Xenopus tropicalis: one gene and its partner. The protein of the gene in region 2 binds, or shares a complex with, the protein of the main gene of each other region. Links are inferred from orthologs where the notes say so. Each region holds a gene or a part of one and is shown on either strand. Other genes may lie near its edges. The genes, in order: kank1 and eif4a1.

Region 1 (3,817 bases), on a different chromosome or scaffold from region 2:
ATAAACTAAGGACAATGACAGACAGGGTGCTTTCTTGCCCTCGAGAAATCTCCTTTCACAGATCACATGAAAATTCTCAGCACTCTGGATCCATTGCAGTTGCCACATTTAAAACAGTTTACATGCAGCAAACCAAGTGGATCTAAGGGCTAAGAATCTTTAGACATGGAAGCTTCCATGTCAGATGTAGCACTTAGTGTTGCTGAACCTCTTGTCTTTAAAAAAAGGAAAAAAAAAATGCTGTTGAGCCAAGCCTGCTATTAGTCTAAAACTGCTAATATCTCCGAAACCACTTAAAATAGTCAATGAATGTAAACTGCACAAGTTCTCAGGGGAACACAACAAGCAAGTTAACACCAATTCATATCTATGGGTTTAGATCCCCTAAGAGGTATTTATACTTCTTTAGATTTCAGATGTTCATATATTTTAACAGAAGATAGGACACATTGTGTTTTCACGTATAGGTATTATGATGGCACGTAGATGCGAAAGCTGCTGTTGTGCTTGGTTGTTGTACTGCTGGCAAATGACATAAAAGAACAGAACATATTGTGACAGACAGGTGACACCTGCTATTTAGAGAGTTCCTGTGGCCAGGTGGTGCACACAAAGAGTACAGCAGCTGAGTGAATGTCATGCTTTTGTCACTGCCATTGTTTGTACTGTAGAAAGCAAGCCATTGAGTGGAAGTTTATTTTATGGATGTAACAATAGTTGTATAGTTCAGCGTGTTACATACATTCTCTTTCAGATATATCTTGTGTTATGCTTTCTCCATTATATCTTTTCTGCTTTGACATCCCAGAACATAGGAACATGTTATTTTATTTTTATGCTCCTAATTATACTAAAGAAAATACATTTTTTTCCCCTTGTTTATCAAGGTGCAGCAGAAAGTTCTTGTTACGGGTCAGCCTGTAGATTGAATGATCATGACATTTTTACTAGTTGTGTAAAAATAATTCTGTCAGCATTGTGTGAGTTAATGGTTTTTTTTTGTTTTAAACAGAGTAAAATTCTAGTTTGGGTTGGGCTGAGAATGTCAAAAAGAATTGTTGGTTTAAGCCAGAAATGTAATTAACTGAACCGCTGCAATTTTAACAGATACGAGCTGAGTGAAAAGATGCTGTCGGCTTGCAATGTGCTGAAAGACACAGTGAGCGATCCAAAGGCGTTGGCAAACAAGGATGTGGTAAGCTCCCCTCAATGGTACTTTATAATTTAGTCTAATTTGGGCACATATTTTTGAATATTTGAAGGCAGTTCTTTTTATTCATCCTTCTCTGGCAATGTGAGACCACAGACCAATGTCAGAGCCAGTACTGTACTGACTGTAAGAAAGCCTCATTCTTTTCTGAAAGGCTCCAAGCAGCACCATGGCTTCCTGCTAGCCATGCATATCTTTGGCTTCTGTGCAGTGAGGAGCATTAGGGAACATTAAGGGTCAGCCTTTTTTTGTGTAATAATAGGATTATGCTAAATGTTAGCCATTCATTTCAGTTTTCAGAATCTTTTATTACATAAAGCCAACAGAACCTAGCAAATTATGTTTATTTCTAAAGAAGATGTTTGCTTATAACAAGAAGTTGTATGCAAGGTCATACTCTGTATTCACCCCCAGCCCCACAGCTGTTCAGTGATATTTTTGTATGCCTCCTTCTGTCTAAAAATCACCCTTTTAAGCTGGTCATACATGCACCAATATTATCATATAGAATGAGGTTTCCTACGATATTTGGTGTGTATATGGTGTATTGTAACGTGTATGGCCACCTTTAATGTTAAGCCATAAATGGTACCATCTGTGCTTTCCTTTGGGTTTATATGCACTGCATAGAGCTAGCAGTTCAGATCTTCAACATATAATATGAGGATAATCACATTTACCATGATTAGATTGAGTATGGAATGTGCATTATTCACTTCCAGGAAAATCATTTCCAAACTCTGTGCAAATTTCACTTACTGCATAAGGAGGCTTGCAAAGCTTTAAACTATGAGTAAGGAATCTATAATATAAAGGTGAAATACTTTCCCCCTGGTCCTGTGACCTTGTTGAAGTCCCAAAGACTTTCTGGGGTTATTAGTGCGAAATCGATATTTCGGTCACATATACTAGACCTTTCTAAAGAATGATATATATATATATATATGTATAATATATGTTTATATTAGAGTGATTTTTCTTTTAATTATTGCAGAGGCTGTGTCTGACCACAGTACAAAATGAGTGGTTCCGTGTGTCCAGTCAGAAATCTGCAGTGGCGCCCATGGTGGAGGATTATATTACTGCATTCAAGGACCTTTCCCCTGCTGTCTTAAGCTACATCATAAATATGGCAGATGGCAACGGCAACACAGCTCTTCATTACAGTGTGTCCCATTCCAACTTTGACATTGTAAAGCTGCTGTTGGACGCAGGTTAGTTTTCTACTAGAGGTAATCCAGGAAGTCAAAACCTACAGCCCTAAAAATATATTACTATTTTCTAAAATGTATCTCCTTATAAAGAGAAAAAGAGTCGTAGTGCAGTGTTATTACTTACATTAGTAAGTGGGAAATGATAAATTACTTTTTGTTTACTTTTCCCATTTTGTTTTTTCCTTTTTTTAACTGTATACCCACTTTTGCCTGATCTGATCAGTATAGGTAAGACAAATGAGTGTTTTTTTTCCTATGAATTCTTAGTTTTATAGAATTAGGCAAACATGGGAAAAAACACTATATTGTTTGACTTATCCACTCAAAGGTTGAATCTAGTCTTTCCACTTTCAAGTTAGTGATCAGATCACATAGTCGCCACAGCTTTTTAAAAAGTTGCTGTGACTAATAAGCCCAGTGCAAATGACGTATGGTTAGTCACTGTGGCTTGTGTGTTACCCTATTTATTTTTAAAAAGTCAAAGAAACTAATTGCTCTGTGTTTTTCACCCTAAAGTGTAAAGATTACTTGGCAAATTAAAACACCATAGTCTTTTGTGTAACAAAACATTTGTGTTGGGCTATTTGTCTTGGGCTATAGTCACTGTCACTTTTTTTTGATACATACCATTTCATTTATATAGCAATAAATGGCATTTGTCATGTATTAAAATGTCCTGTATAACCGTCTTTATTTTCCCTGCACAATCATGCCTTTGATTTGCCTGATGACTTCATGTTTCACTAGAATGCTTGGTTTCTTTGCAGATGTGTGTAATGTAAATCAGCAGAACAAGGCTGGCTACACTCCCATAATGCTTGCTGCTCTTGCAGCTGTGGAAGCACCCAAGGACATGGGGGTAGTGGAGGAGCTCTTTGGCTCAGGAGATGTGAATGCCAAAGCTAGCCAGGTCTGTATAACAGATACTTTATAGCTTGTTAGGTGTTTACCTTGTAACAAGGGTTAAATGCTAGCCTTATTTTTTAGATCTGTTTAAAAGTAGCCACAGCCAGCATAAAGGCTACCATAAATCATTTCATTACCTATTCTTTTTTGTTGCTGCTCCCTGATAAATTCTTTCCCCAACAACCCCCTATCCTGTTGCATAAGTATACATAAATACAGTATATGTAGTTGGGAAAGGGAACCTACAATGCCCGTATAATGTAAATATATTTTCTGTTTGCAGGCAGGCCAAACTGCGCTGATGCTCGCTGTCAGTCATGGACGCATAGACATGGTCAGAGCCCTTTTGGCATGCGGAGCTGATGTCAATATCCAGGATGATGAAGGCTCCACAGCACTAATGTGTGCAAGTGAACATGGACATGTAGAGATTGTCAAACTGCTGCTGGCCCAGCATGGCTGCAATGCTGCCCTGGAAGACAATGTA
Region 2 (3,594 bases):
CTGCACTGGCGCCACGCGACAACGTACTCAATGTATGCTCCGCCCCACTCACAGCTGGATCCCCCCTTCCTGGCATTTGTGCCCACAGCATGAACCAGCCAGCAGGCATGGGGGCACAGCGCTGGGATGAATATGGGAGGTTTCTCTGCCCCCGCCAGATATAAGCAGCGATGCCACGTGACATGCCCTTGCCCAGTGACGGGGGGTGGAGCTACACATTATAGGCACTTCTATGGCAGATTCCTCTTTGCTGATGGGTAGTGAGCATATTAATACCGCACACTCTGGCCCACAGAGCTTACAATCCAAGTCCCTGAGCACTTCTGTACTACGCTGCAATTAGTGGCCCAACCCAACAAGCCTGTGCTGGTACCGCCCATAAACAGCCTCATTCCAAACAGAGAACATTCCACACTAATGGGCTCAATGTTCCACCGCCCAAGTGCAACCTTCCCTTCCACCAGCAGAGGGAGCCCTGTACATCCCAGCCAATCAGAGGCAGGCTCATGATACTCACACAGGTAACGCCTGTTTAACATGTCGAACACTCTGCCGGGGGTGCCCACAACTATATGAGGGGCTTCTGACTGCAGCTTCTGTACTTCGGCCCTTACGTTGGTGCCCCCAATGCAGGCGTGGCAAGAGGCACCCATGTAATCTCCGAGGGCCATAACTACTTTCTGGATCTAGGGGAGGAGACAAGCAGAGGTACAGCTAAGTATTCAGGCAAGCGATTGGCCAATGTGAGAGGCATTAGTTGGGAGGGGGTACTGCAATCACATGGCACTGTGTAGCCCCCCAAGCAGTCACAGATTTATAATAAATACCCACACAGAAGGAATGCTCTGGGCACACCATCCTGTATATAAGCAGAAGGAATGCTCTGGGCACACCATCCTGTATATAAGCAGAAGGAATGCTCTGGGCACACCATCCTGTATATAAGCAGAAGGAATGCTCTGGGCACACCATCCTGTATATAAGCAGAAGGAATGCTCTGGGCACACCATCCTGTATGTATGCAGAAGGAATGCTCTGGGCACAGCAGCCTGGATATATGCAGAAGGAATGCTCTGGGCACAGCAGCCTGGATATATGCAGAAGGAATGCTCTGGGCACACCAGCCTGGATATACGCAGAAGGAATGCTCTGGGCACAGCAGCCTGGATATATGCAGAAGGAATGCTCTGGCCACAGGATGAATGTAGAAAAGTGTTTGTGTAGAAGGAATTACTAACGGCAAAAAGGACCCTGAGGGGGCGGGACTTACCTGCTGGGCCAGCTCACGGGTTGGTGCCAACACCAGGGCCTGTGTGGCTTTCATATCCAGTTCTATCTGTTGAAGAATGGAAATGGCAAAGGTGGCAGTTTTCCCAGTTCCAGACTGTGCTTGAGCAATGACATCATAACCTAAAGGGGTGACAGACATGACATCACTCACCCCAAGTCACACAAAGTGGGGTATCAATAGGACTAGTAAACTCAGTGAAGGGAATGTACCAAGTGGCATTACAGGAAGTTACGGGGGAGCCGGGGCAGATGACAGCCCATTATACAAACAGGACAGGGCAGAAGGGGCAATACTTACCCTTGATACAAGGCATAATAGCTCGCTGCTGGATGGCTGAGGGTTTCTCAAAGCCATAGGCGTAAATACCCCTAAGCAGAGACTCTGATAGGCTCATGTCATCAAAACTATCAACGACTTCATTCCAATTGCTCTGCAAAGGGAGGGAGGAGTTAGTGCCTGATGGGGCACCCCCAATGGCCACCGCCCCACCCCCAGTGGCCACTCAGACTGGATACATTACCTCAATGACCCCATCGGGCTCCATGCCTTCGGGTCCATTGTCTCTGGGTCTGGAAATGACAAGAGGGAGAGTGAGGGGTTAACGTTGGAAAGGGGACACAGGAGTAACCAATCTGCCCACAGAGGGGCCAGCTACTGCCCACAGAGGGGCCAGCTACTGCCCACAGAGGGCACAGCTACTGCCCACAGAGGGCACAGCTACTGCCCACAGAGGGCACAGCTACTGCCCACAGAGGGCACAGCTACTGCCCACAGAGGGCACAGCTACTGCCCACAGAGGGCACAGCTACTGCCCACAGAGGGCACAGCTACTGCCCACAGAGGGGCCCAGCTACTGCCCACAGAGGGGCCAGCTACTGCCCACAGAGGGGCCAGCTACTGCCCACAGAGGGGCCAGCTACTGCCCACAGAGGGCACAGCTACTGCCCACAGAGGGCACAGCTACTGCCCACAGAGGGGCCAGCTACTGCCCACAGAGGGCACAGCTACTGCCCACAGAGGGCACAGCTACTGCCCACAGAGGGGCCAGCTACTGCCCACAGAGGGGCCAGCTACTGCCCACAGAGGGGCCAGCTACTGCCCACAGAGGGCACAGCTACTGCCCACAGAGGGGCCAGCTACTGCCCACAGAGGGGCCAGCTACTGCCCACAGAGGGCACAGCTACTGCCCACAGAGGGCACAGCTACTGCCCACAGAGGGGCCAGCTACTGCCCACAGAGGGGCCAGCTACTGCCCACAGAGGGGCCAGCTACTGCCCACAGAGGGCACAGGAGGATTGGGCCACATTACTATCCCCTTGGGAGAAGCTGCCATGATTATACCAACGCTCCCCTCAGACAGGGGGCCACCCAATAATACCATACACAGCTGCCCCCCCCACCCCCCCCCGATGAGAAACGAAACCTGGGGGCAGGAATGCAGAAGGGGAGGAGATATATTGTGGGCGTGACTGGGCCGAGCGCCACAAAGAGGCTCTGTTACAGGCAGCTCCCTGCTCTGCGCTTAGTCACACGCTCCCTACAAGCACTTACTGTCAGGCTATGTGCCCCCCCATATGCCTGGGGCAGACTCGCTTGTGAGACGGTGCCATCATGTCACCACAAACACTGCCCCACAGAGCTTACACTCTATCTACACATGGCTCACATTCCCTACTGTAACCAGTCCACATCAGAATTTCTCCTTACTTTTCCCTTGTCCCTCAAAGCATGCTGGGAAGTGTAGTTCAGCAGCTGGAATTACAGCATCTTAAAATAGCCCAATCCCGCCCCCTGCAGGCCCCAATCTGCCACTGGCTACGAAGAGGTGCCCCGCTGAGCCGGCAGTCTCACCCACTGGGATGTAATGGCCCCCCCTGCAGGACGTTACTGGGGGATAACGCAGCCCCATTTGGCCGCAGTGAGGTGCCCGGGTAGGAGGGGGCAGGCTGGGCACGGTGTAACTGCTGATGCCACACAAACAGGGCAATTAAGCTCAGGTCACACAGTCGGCACGGGGGCAGGTACAACGGCTCATGAGTCACAGGCAGTAGGTGAAATGACGCCCAAGCGCAACGCAGCAGTTAAAGGGCCACTATGAATCACATCGGCAGCTTAATGCCCCGGACTGTGCCCGCTCCATGTACTTAGTGGGACCGGAAATACCCCCCCAGCACACTGGCACCACCAGGGGCCCACAGACTGGCACAGCACTCAGGCCAATGTGGGGTTAGGGGGTCACTAGGGCACAGGGGTGAGGCTTGCAAAGTGCCCCTAAATACAGGGTGGCACAGACTGGGCTTGAC

The links.
Region 1: the proteins of eif4a1 (region 2) and kank1 are in contact, whole or in part, in a crystal structure (PDB 7DDX), measured with the Mus musculus proteins. The link is inferred for Xenopus tropicalis from reciprocal best matches to the Homo sapiens genes EIF4A1 and KANK1. Residues at the interface, in NP_659207.1 of Mus musculus: Lys99, Val140, Arg141, Val144, Gln145, Lys146, Leu147, Gln148, Met149, Glu150, Ala151, Arg168, Arg169, Tyr170, Ser172; in NP_852069.4 of Mus musculus: Gly1168, Asn1169, Asn1171, His1175, Tyr1176, Val1178, Asn1201, Lys1202, Ala1203, Tyr1205, Met1209, Leu1210, Leu1213, Ala1214, Ala1215, Gln1240, Ala1241, Leu1248, Ser1251, His1252, Arg1254, Asp1273, Glu1274, His1285.

What each region holds. Positions count from the first base shown.
Region 1 is NC_030677.2:128,764,632-128,768,448, reverse strand, and holds part of kank1 (KN motif and ankyrin repeat domain-containing protein 1), read left to right. Parts: intron 1-1,107; coding exon 1,108-1,195; intron 1,196-2,204; coding exon 2,205-2,424; intron 2,425-3,191; coding exon 3,192-3,334; intron 3,335-3,613; coding exon 3,614-3,814; intron 3,815-3,817.
Region 2 is NC_030679.2:152,589,104-152,592,697, forward strand, and holds part of eif4a1 (eukaryotic initiation factor 4A-I), read right to left. Parts: intron 1,861-3,594; coding exon 1,812-1,860; intron 1,722-1,811; coding exon 1,589-1,721; intron 1,411-1,588; coding exon 1,271-1,410; intron 687-1,270; coding exon 518-686; intron 1-517. UniProt on the Homo sapiens protein: ATP-dependent RNA helicase which is a subunit of the eIF4F complex involved in cap recognition and is required for mRNA binding to ribosome.